Linked DNA regions of Drosophila melanogaster. The protein of the gene in region 2 interacts with the protein of the main gene of each other region in a pairwise test. Each region holds a gene or a part of one and is shown on either strand. Other genes may lie near its edges. The genes, in order: msb1l, Dlc90F and Hsp67Bc.

Region 1 (3,753 bases), on a different chromosome or scaffold from region 2:
ATTATAAACAGGAAATGGAATTTACCCACACGGATGCAGCGCGGTGAAGTGTGTGTCTGTGTAAATTGCTGATGAGCCGACAAACGGACGTGGTGCTCAATTGACAGATGAGCACGAGAGAGACAGGCAGAGCATAGCACACCGCCGAATGAGCGAAGGAGAAGGCCAGAGCGCGCTTCAAAGTTGATTGAAATCAATATACGTACATACGTATGTATACACACATAGCGTGCCGGTGTGAGTGTGCTAAGACCGCTCGTGGAATGTTTGAAAAACGCGGTCAAGCGACGGGAAGAGCAAGAATGTTGAACTCTGGAAGTGGGAAGAAGTTTCTGTAAATAGAAGCCAGGTGGAAGGGGCTTTTGCACCTGCCACGCCCAGCAGCCCCTGGAATCAATTAACATGTTGCACAACTGCAGCGGCTCCTATATACATAGTTCATATAATGTACTTGTGATACAGTGACTTACGCACACAGAGGTGCAATTGCAGATGGCGACGAGTGTAGCGTGTAGTTTTTCTCGGAAATGAGCAATGAATGAAATTCGGTTGTTTTCAGTACTCACACGCACACGAACGCAGATGCATACACTCGCAATTTGGAGCAAGAGAGAAAGTCTGCACGACATGCGCTCTGGCGTTTGTGTGTATACAATTTGCTTACTTTTTGCGCTACAATTGGCAAATAAAACAATAGCGCAATTTTACGCAGCACTTTAGCTTACTAACCCACATTGATGGCTCCACAAAGCGAGCAAAATAATTTGTCTGCCTAATTGAAATAAAATAAATAAAACTAAGCAGAAAAAATGTCGGCAAAAAACAAGGCGCAGCTGTATTGTGCGCTAGTGTGTGTAAAAAGGAGACGGCCATAGAAAAAAAAAACACATATACACACAGGAGAATTTACTGCTGCTTGCGGCGCCCACACACACATACACAAAAACACTCGCCTATTTAGTACAGCAACTGCGTAAATTCAATAAAAATAGTCATCTGGAGTAAAAAAACCCAGTTTCCTGTCTTCATTTCCCTTTTTCCGTGAAGGTACACAGTCACTACTGTTATAATTTAGCACACACACTCGCGCATTTATGTATGCATTTGGGTTGCTTTCATTTGGATGTTTATCACTTACTTTACCACTTACTTTGGGATTTAGCTCTTCGTTTGTCGCACTTTTTTGGCCTGTTTTCATGCCATTTTCTTTTTGAAAAACTGAAAGAGTACAATTCGTTGTGTCGCGTCTTAAATGAACAAGTGTTGCCAGACTTTAGCTGGAGGGAGATGACACTATCGCGAGGCAGCATAAAAATCAGTGCTGTAAAGCGAAATTAAAAAAAATATCTGATAACTTTAATATTAGTTTATTTGTTTACTGAATTTTACATTTTCTTATGTACTATAAATAAAAATCAATTCATAAATTTATTTGAGAGGAGTAAAACAAGAAGAATCCACCTAAACATTACAGACTTAAGTTCTAAATATCCCAAACGTTGTTTAATTTCTATTTATATTTGTAACGATTAGTTAGTTATTAGTAATAATGAAAGAACTAGTGATAAAATCCATTTGTAATCACTGCTAGAATTGGCTTGAAAATAGCTAGACTGACGTTAACAATACTGTTACCAGTTGGCATTTCCTGATCCGGCAACTCCACACGACGCCATTTCAAAACAAATGCGCGGCAACGATTTTATTTTACCCCGCAACATTTAGTGAGAAGTCGCAAAATAAGTCAGATTATTTGATTAAAATGGGAGCAAAGGCAACAAAAATGGAAGGTGAATATCTGCCGGATACGCCGACACTAAACAAAATGCGCCTGGCCAGCGAAAAGCGAGAACAAATGGAAATGACGACGCCGAATCGAGAGCAAAACAACGCTTTGCTCGATCCTCGATCACCAAATGGCTGCCGCACGCCTTTAACCGTGAGTTTATAGGCATTAGGTATTTTTTGATATTACTAACCCTAGTAATGATGGCTGCGTTGTAGTTCTTGCAGGCGTCAAAACCTCGCGTTGAGGAGGAGGAGCAGCATGTGACCACCAGTGAAAATGCCTTCTCCATGCTGCGAAAACGTTTGCTCAAGGGCTTCTCCCTGAACGATCCTCGCTCTCCTCAGCTGAATCGCACTCCACTGGTCCTCGATGAGGTTCGTTCGCTTAATATGGATGACACATTCGCCGATCTCTTCGTGGACACCAGGGTGGGTACAGCACAGAGAGCAGTGCCTGCATCACCGCCCCAAGTGGATTTAGAGGAGAGCTGCGATAGCTTCGGCACACCGCCGTCTGCTGCACACAACAATATTTCCCTGGAGATTGTTTCACTGCCCTATGATCAGGAAGAAACCTTGCCTTGCGAGCAACAGCTGCTGCCGTATCAGGAGCCGAATCTGGAGCAGGGCCAGGTGAAAATGGCCACGCCCCCGCCAGAACAGCAGCCCCATGGTGATCCCCGATCGCCCAGCCTGGGCGTCGATCGCACACCCATCATCTTCTGCGACGACGAGGAGGAGGAGGCACGCGAGGCCCAGATGCTGGAGCACATCCTGGAAACACTGACCCTGAATCTCAGCACTGGCAGCAGCATGGCCTCCTTTGTCGCTGGCGAGGAGCAGCTACCAGAAGTGCCGTCGAACAAACATTTGGAGCGAGTGCGTTTGGGTCACAAGCGTCGTGTGCCACCGCGCAAGCCCGCCAGAGCCAACAAGCCAAAGATCTATGTTGACCAAGAGGAGGGGTCCCCGGTGACCGGAGGATCCATTACGCCCAAGACAAACAGTACCCCCCTGTCCGCACAAAAGCGAACTCCACTCAGTTGCGTTAAGAATAAGCCGCATCTGCGATCCCGTTCAATGGAAAAGGATTCTAAGAAGAATCAGATTCCGCCCGCGCAGAGCTTCAACGATCAACTGCGGATAATCTCTGGCACAGAGGGATTCAGCGGACCCGTTTACTAACACAGCTTAGTAGCTACTATTGCCTTATGTCCATCAAAACCCACCAAATCATAGTCTTTTCTCACGACACATACTTTTATTACTCATCTTTTAATAAATCATTTTATTAGTTTGCTTGCCAGTACATTGTGCACATAAATTGATGGATGCAGTTTGCTCATGAGTATTATTCTAACATTTGGAAACCGGGCTATTTATTCCTGAAGTAACCTATTACCGATAATCAGCGACATATAGTTTGTATATCCATTGAATCTATTAAGTCTTAAACGTTGCAAGTTAGTAAAACCGCCACACAAGCTCTATTTCGTTACCAAGAGTATTTACTATTAGGTACGTAACTTCATTCTTGTCTAGTGTATTGCATTAACTACGCTATTTGTGACCGGAATACGTGATATATCAAAAATACATTTGTTCAAAGCATGGTGAGCCGAGAGGTCCAAGCTCTATCGATACTGCAGCTGCAGCCTATCCAGCAGAATGTCGATGGCCTCCTGGTCGAGTTCCTCGTCGTTGGCCAACACCACGTCGAAGCCGTCGGCCAGATCATCCAGATCGCACTCGGAGGGAACATCGTCTATTCCTGCGGTAAAGGTCCATCCCCGTGCAGACCGCGTTTCTGGACGGGATGTTAGACGCAAGGTGATGACTCGTTCCGGCCCGTAAGTCTCCCGGAACCACCTGATGTCGTTCTTGCGCCGCACATCGCTGACCAGAATGTAGGGCGTCTGCTGGCGACTCAGCGCCTCCTCCATGGCCACGCGGCAGAAGTAGCCG
Region 2 (3,325 bases):
TATACGCCATCGTTTTGCGGATCCCAATGTGGCAAAGAAGGGAACTCGCACCAATTTCAGCAGTGAAAAGGCACTGACACACTTTATTGTGATGGCCCTGCTCCTCAGTGAGAAGTTCGAAGTGGACATCAATGTCCTCTCCCGTGCTTTGGCCACCACCAAGGCTCGGATCAAGCAGTACGCCCACATTGTGAACGCTCTGCCAAAATCCAATTCGGACATCCTTAGCCTGCGCCTGCCCAGCAAGGTTCCGGCTCTAAAGTCGGGCCGTCGCTTCCAGCGCAAGAAGTAGGAGTATCTTCAAGGACACCGCGCCCGCCATCGATTTAACAAACCCTGGCGCGCCAATTACATTTATTGCATCCAGGTACTTCTGATTTTGTTATTTTGGGCAATGCCAGAAGGAATATTATTATTCTAAACGATAGAAGGTTTTGATAAACTAAAATAAATAAAGAAATAAGAGAAAGACCATTAAAGTTTAATTTTAACAAATGCCTGGGAATTTAAATCGATTTTAGACCAATGGCCAATTGCTGCCATGGAAACGAAAAATATTCCCACGACCCAAAAAATGATGACCCATTGAAAACAGTTTGCAATGATTAACTTATTATGCTACGGTATTATACACTTTTTATTTACGTTTTTAGATTGAAAATCAAGAATAACATTAGGCGAGTACACTGGCAACGGAATAGTTGCTTGCTAATTGCTTGGAAGTGACGACAAGGTTTTCAAGTGCTCCATAATAAATTTTGTTATTACAGCAGGATGGATGGCCGATCAAAAAAGTATGGTATTTGTGTTGTTGGTGTGTGCTGGTGTACGACGGCAATCTTGTTAGTCCCTCCCCCTTTTAAGTCATCTTCATCGCGAATTCCGGCAGTCCTGCCATTCCTCCACTCTAGACGGCCAGTCCGAAGACCGAAACGATGCAGTACATGGTCTTGTTCTCCCAGCGTACTGTGCACGATCCGTCGGTGTCGTTGTTCCAGTAGCAGGAGCTGGCGGTGTGGAGTCCAGCACCGTTCTTTTGCATGATCATGGCGGTCACAATGTACTTGTAGGGCTTCTGCTCCTTGGTGAGCACCGTCAGGCAGTTCTCCACCACCTGGCCGGTCCAGTTGTTCACCTTGTCGTGCTGGTAGGCGTTACCGCCGATGGTCGTCTCGATGGCCTCTTTAATCGTCTTGCTCACGTCGTCCACAATGAACTGGCTTTCTTCGCGTGAGTCATCCATCGTCGCAGCTTTGATTTGCTTCTAACGGCAGCTGGTCAAAAAAGTTTACGTACTGAGCTCAAGTTTGTATTGTTGTCGTTGTAAATGTGCGCGCGTTTTTGGGCTCGTCGGCGGCGTTCGAGCAGTCCAAATAATATATATCGGGATTCTATTTTTCTAAGGGATGCGGAAAGCAAAGTTTGCTTTTAATTTGGAAGTATTTTCTTGGGCACCTTGATCTGGTCAGACTGTGTTGCAATTTAACCGGAGAAACGGTTACATCGTGGGTCATTTCAGCATCTTCACACTAGAGATTTCAAGAGAAGAAACAGTTGTCTTTTATTAAAAACAAAGGTTTCGCTATCAACATTTTCCAAAGCAATTAGTCAAGGAGAGTATAATTAGATTAAGTACTTTCAAAAGGAACCAAACAAGTTAAAACCTATTATAACCATGATGCCAGTGGAAACACATCTAAGCATTTAAATTAATCGATAGAAAACAGTGCTGAAAACCGCGGGAAAATTAAACTTTTAATCGCTGGATTATTTCGACTGCAAGCCACGGTCACTCTGGCAGAATCAACATAACGGACGCGTTCGCGGCGCAATAAAAACGAAAAATAATTAAATTATTCCATAACTCTTCTGCGACACCATTGAAAAACATCGACGCATATCAAGGCCGACAAATATCGCTATTAAATGCACAGCTGAAAGCGATTCGTGCAGCACGTCGTTGAATTGAATTAAATTCGTTATGGGAAAGTGCCTTGGTGTGTGTGTGCGTGCGTATAATTAAGCAAAAGTATTTAGCAAATCGAAGGCGCACATTTCGCAATACACGCTGCGAAATAATCGGGTGATAATTGTCGCAGCTGCAGGCGCACTTCCTTCTCCATCTCCTGCTTTCTTCGTTTTTGTCTCTGCGGATACGTGCTACTACTTTTGCAGCTGCTGTTCAGCTATTTAGCGCGTGTGTGTGAGTGCGCTCCGCGGCTGCTGCTGTTGTTGTTTTTGTTGGCTCACCTCTCGTTAACCACCTTGAATGCGAGTGAACGAGCGAGAGGGGGTGAGAAGAGTGCAAAGTTGATGCCCGCGAGTGTGCGCTTGTCTCTCTGTGTGTGTATGACAACAAATTGAGTGCGACTGTGTGCGTGCGGCATTAGTCACTCTCTTTAACTTTTAACTGTTTTGGTCCACCCTCTGCGAACCAAAAAGGCAAAGACAAAAAAAAACCACTAAACCAACTTTGCGGATCGGTTTTTTTTTTTTGAATCGAAACGAATCGGATCGGAACGAATCGGAAATCACCAAAAGGTTAGTTACCCGCAATTGATATTTAACCACAACATCACCCTGACAACTGCTTGCTTTTGCAAACATACATACATATGTAACATCACTCCACCATTCTCATCAAAGTTTTGCTCAAGCTACTTACTTAATTGAAATTCCAGTCAAGGTCGCATTTGTTAATTAATTAAATGTTTGCCCGGCTGACTGCAAGTATAAGGCAAAAGGGGAAACTTGGCGACTGCACAATAGTTATTGTACAATTCAAAAAGTATTGCATAAACCGATATGCTACGTTTGTTCCGACTGTTTACTCAAGCCTCAAGCGATAAGCGGGGAGTACAGTGACATTTATGGATGGGATGGGAAACCCATTTTCTGTTTTGACTGCATAATCGCCAGCACACGAAAAACACTGTCATTGCATTTAACGAATAACTGGAATTATTAGAGAACAGCTGCCTACATAAATACCGCTTCAAATGGTCACCATTGGTCACTAAATACACTTTTTTTACGAGTCATACATTTGCAGTTTTTCTCTCTGTGTAACTCTGCACGAAGCTTCTTCTTTACCCATTAATAAAATAGAAAACCGAAGGAGTTTCGTTTTCGTTTTGTCACTTTCGGACGCAGCAGGTGGTGCATTTGCGCGCTTACCTCACTTTCCAGCTGACTGACTTTCGGGCGATCCTCACATGGTAGCCATAACCATATAACATATGCTATTCCAGCACCCTTTTTCTCTACGCCAGTGCCCAGTGATAAAAACCCTTCGCAGAGCAATCTTCATATGACAAAAACAGGA
Region 3 (3,480 bases), on a different chromosome or scaffold from region 2:
GGCTCGTGGAAGAAGGCGTGAAAGGGCGAGGAGAGGCGTGGCATCCGTGCCATCTCCTCGGCCATGCGCCAAAACATCGGTAAGGAACGCATTGTAGTTAATAAGGTAACTTGGTTTTTCCAACAAAAGCTTCTTATGCAAATTCGAATAATTTGATGAAATTCCGTCCAATTGTTGTCTTTGAAATACTTCTTGGCTTTTTTTTAAATTTTTCCTCTATGTTTCGAAGATAATCTTGTTGTCTGAAGTTTCAATCCTATGAAATTTCTATTTAGCTGGCGAAATTTTAATTTAGTTGACTTTCTTCGAGTTGTTAGCAGTTGGTTTGGTTTTTTTGAACTGAGAGCGCAGTGTCCAACCGGTGGCTATTTATACTCTTGGCAGAGAGGAAATCCATATAATCTAGAAAATACCGGCACTCTCTCGAATTTTCTTCGCCCTTTGCTGATGCAATTTTCCACTTTGCCTGAAATCGGGCAATGGCATTTAGTTAGGGGTTGTTCACTGTTCTTTAGCGAACTCCGTGGAAGTTTCTGGGGCTCTCTGGGTGTCCAAATATTACTTTATTTACCTTTTATTTTAGCATTTAGCGAAGTTCTCTCTCGCTGTTGCGCCTTGGGGAAGGTCAGTTTCCATACGCAGAGAGACAGATTGAGAGAGCTCCATTAGAGAGTGGGAGAGAGAAAGTTTTGTGGGAGTGCACAGCTTTCTGAGTGCGAGTGTATACGTGTGTGTATTGATAAGCTTGCCATGGGTGTAGTCAAGAACTTGAGATATATGAAAAATACAGCTTAATATTAACAAATAATTAAAGTTTTCTGTTTTTTTTAGCTATTAATAATTAATTAATTAATTAATATTAATCTTCATTTATTCAGAAATATAGCGACGTTTATCGTCAAAGTCCCTCCTTTTGAGCCCATTCATTCCAGGAGCCTTTGTAGATCACCACACTAAAATGAGCATACATATATGTATCCGATATAAACTATTGCAACTATAATACAATTTTAAAACTCACTTGCTGTATCCCTGACTTTTGGCAATTTTCTCTGCTTCCAAGACTCGATTTCCCGACCGGCAGGTGAATATGATTGGCGACTGCTTCTCCGGCTTCGATCTTCCGTACTTGTTTTTAAAAGCAGATCCATCCAGATTTAGAGCCTTGTCCAGTTCATCCACTAAGTAAATAAATAGTAATAAAACACATAGTAATAAAGCAAATACTAGGGAAAGTAGTTTATTACAGGGTATATTGATGCTGGCTGGAATGAAGCCCGTCTGCTGGAGCTCTTCCTTCCGTCGAACGTCGATAAGATACACATCCGGATGGTTGGGCACATCCTTAACCTGTTCGTACGTGGCCATTGTAGTTATGGGGCGGAGCACGAATTTCAACCGGTTCGCCAGCTGAATAACAACTGACTTGCCAGCTGGGCGCAGATGATCCATTTATGAGGTTCAAGATTAAAGATTCGGGTATGTACATATGTATGTGCGTACTTGCTTATCGCATTTTGATTATCGTGGTGTCGTCTTGTTTGTCCAGCTGACACTGGAGATTGCGCCTCTCATCTGTATCCGATTTCACTTTGAATTTGAAATTAAAATCTTATGGTATGATCTCCAATACAGAGCTTGCTATCTGCACTCATTTTATACATACATACATACCTTATGGCGGATCACATATAACAGTTTACAGTCTACGAAAGCTTGGCCCCCAGAAGGTTCCCAGTTGTCTCCCTAGAATCAACGAAACAACGAGTTGCTGCTCCAGAAAAGCTCTGTGGCAATGGGCAAAGCTCTTCCGTCTCTATAAAAGGGCGCAGACAAACCGTTAAACTCCACATTCGAGTCGGAAAAGTCAAGGTGAATTGTGCGCCAAACTGCAGCTGAGATTGTGGATTCCACCACCCGCTGGCAAATCAACCCCTTGGATACTTTTTGAAAGGAAAACAGGTCGTCGGTTCAACGAACCTCCTTCCGCCAGATACACAAAGAAGTTAAGCAAAGAAAAGTAAAATGCCAGATATTCCCTTTGTCTTGAATTTGGACTCCCCGGACTCCATGTACTACGGCCACGATATGTTCCCGAATCGCATGTACAGGCGATTGCATTCGCGGCAGCATCATGATCTTGATTTGCACACCCTGGGTCTGATTGCCCGGATGGGTGCACATGCCCATCACCTGGTGGCCAATAAAAGGAACGGAGAGCTGGCTGCATTGAGCCGCGGTGGAGCCTCAAATAAGCAGGGCAATTTCGAGGTCCATCTGGATGTGGGACTCTTTCAGCCAGGTGAACTGACCGTCAAACTGGTCAACGAGTGCATTGTGGTCGAGGGAAAACACGAGGAGCGCGAGGACGATCATGGACATGTATCCCGGCATTTTGTTCGCCGCTATCCGCTGCCCAAGGAGTTCGATTCGGATGCCATTGTTTCCACTTTGTCGGAGGATGGAGTTCTCAATATCACGGTTCCACCATTAGTTTCCAAGGAGGAGCTCAAGGAGCGCATCATACCCATTAAGCATGTGGGTCCATCGGATCTCTTCCAGAATGGAAACGGTCATAAGGAGGCCGGTCCGGCAGCTTCTGCTTCAGAGCCAGAAGCCAAGTGAAGAGCCCCCTCCTAAAGATTGCAGCCTAAGCAGCCAAGTGATTTCCCAAGACTCTCGTTTATCGTTGCACCAAAAAAAAAGTCAAGAAAATATCGCACAAATCGTATTATATTTATTAATTTATTATTAGCTACATTTTAAACAGTCCAATCAAATTTTAAGACTAATCGAAATCCAGTATTAATAAAGGAATATGAATGTCTCAGTAATCAAAAGACTTTTACTAATATTTAAGAGCTTAATTCATATCAAAAAGCACGAAATCCAATTTTGGGTACAATATTAACTTTCCTTTGTTCGATTAGACAGGTATTAAAAGCTGTGCATATTAAAAATAGGTCCCCGGATGTCAATCCTACTTAAAAAAGCTTTGGTTAGCCTTTTCCCAGGTGCGATTGAGTGAACTTTTGAACTTTGAAATGAAAGCCCGCCATAAGTGTAATTATCGATAGCTTTTAGTCATCTTTCCAAAACTATCTATCGAAGTAACAGTTTTTAACAAGTGGTAAGTCAACGATAAATTTAATAAAAGAAACTAACATTTAATTACACAAAGTATATATATTATTTTTAAAGTTATTTAGCAGATGGAGTACATTATAAACTAATTTATTTTGTTTGGGATTATAATCTGAATAATAAAAACCCGTGACATATTGCATGTTGCCCATCTCCAGCTGGCACTGTAACCTCAAAAAAATGTTTTGTTTACTTTTGCGCCGCTCTGCAGTTCATAATTCCTGCAAATTAATCAGTAAACAGATTGCCAAGCCCGCGTTCTACACACCCCACAATGCTCTGCACACCACAATACGTAAGTGGAGCCTTTAAACCTACAGAATCATCACTATATTA

The links.
Region 1: the proteins of Dlc90F (region 2) and msb1l interact in a two-hybrid assay, tested with the Drosophila melanogaster proteins (2 studies listed by BioGRID).
Region 3: the proteins of Dlc90F (region 2) and Hsp67Bc interact in a two-hybrid assay, tested with the Drosophila melanogaster proteins (2 studies listed by BioGRID).

The regions. Positions count from the first base shown.
Region 1 is NT_033779.5:19,576,036-19,579,788, forward strand, and holds msb1l (msb1l), read left to right. Parts: upstream 1-1,665; 5' UTR 1,666-1,762; coding exon 1,763-1,939; intron 1,940-2,004; coding exon 2,005-2,973; 3' UTR 2,974-3,096; downstream 3,097-3,753. Other genes in the region: Pmvk (phosphomevalonate kinase), read right to left, coding at 3,423-3,753.
Region 2 is NT_033777.3:18,297,340-18,300,664, reverse strand, and holds Dlc90F (dynein light chain 90F), read right to left. Parts: upstream 1,437-3,325; 5' UTR 1,244-1,436; coding exon 908-1,243; 3' UTR 621-907; downstream 1-620. Other genes in the region: Polr1E (RNA polymerase I subunit E), read left to right, coding at 1-292. UniProt on the Drosophila melanogaster protein: Acts as one of several non-catalytic accessory components of the cytoplasmic dynein complex that are thought to be involved in linking dynein to cargos and to adapter proteins that regulate dynein function.
Region 3 is NT_037436.4:9,370,863-9,374,342, reverse strand, and holds Hsp67Bc (heat shock gene 67Bc), read left to right. Parts: upstream 1-1,845; 5' UTR 1,846-2,025; coding exon 2,026-2,625; 3' UTR 2,626-2,832; downstream 2,833-3,480. Other genes in the region: Hsp22 (heat shock protein 22), read right to left, coding at 1-92; CG4456 (uncharacterized protein), read right to left, coding at 899-953, 1,022-1,181, 1,248-1,368; Fdx1 (ferredoxin 1), read left to right, coding at 3,325-3,439.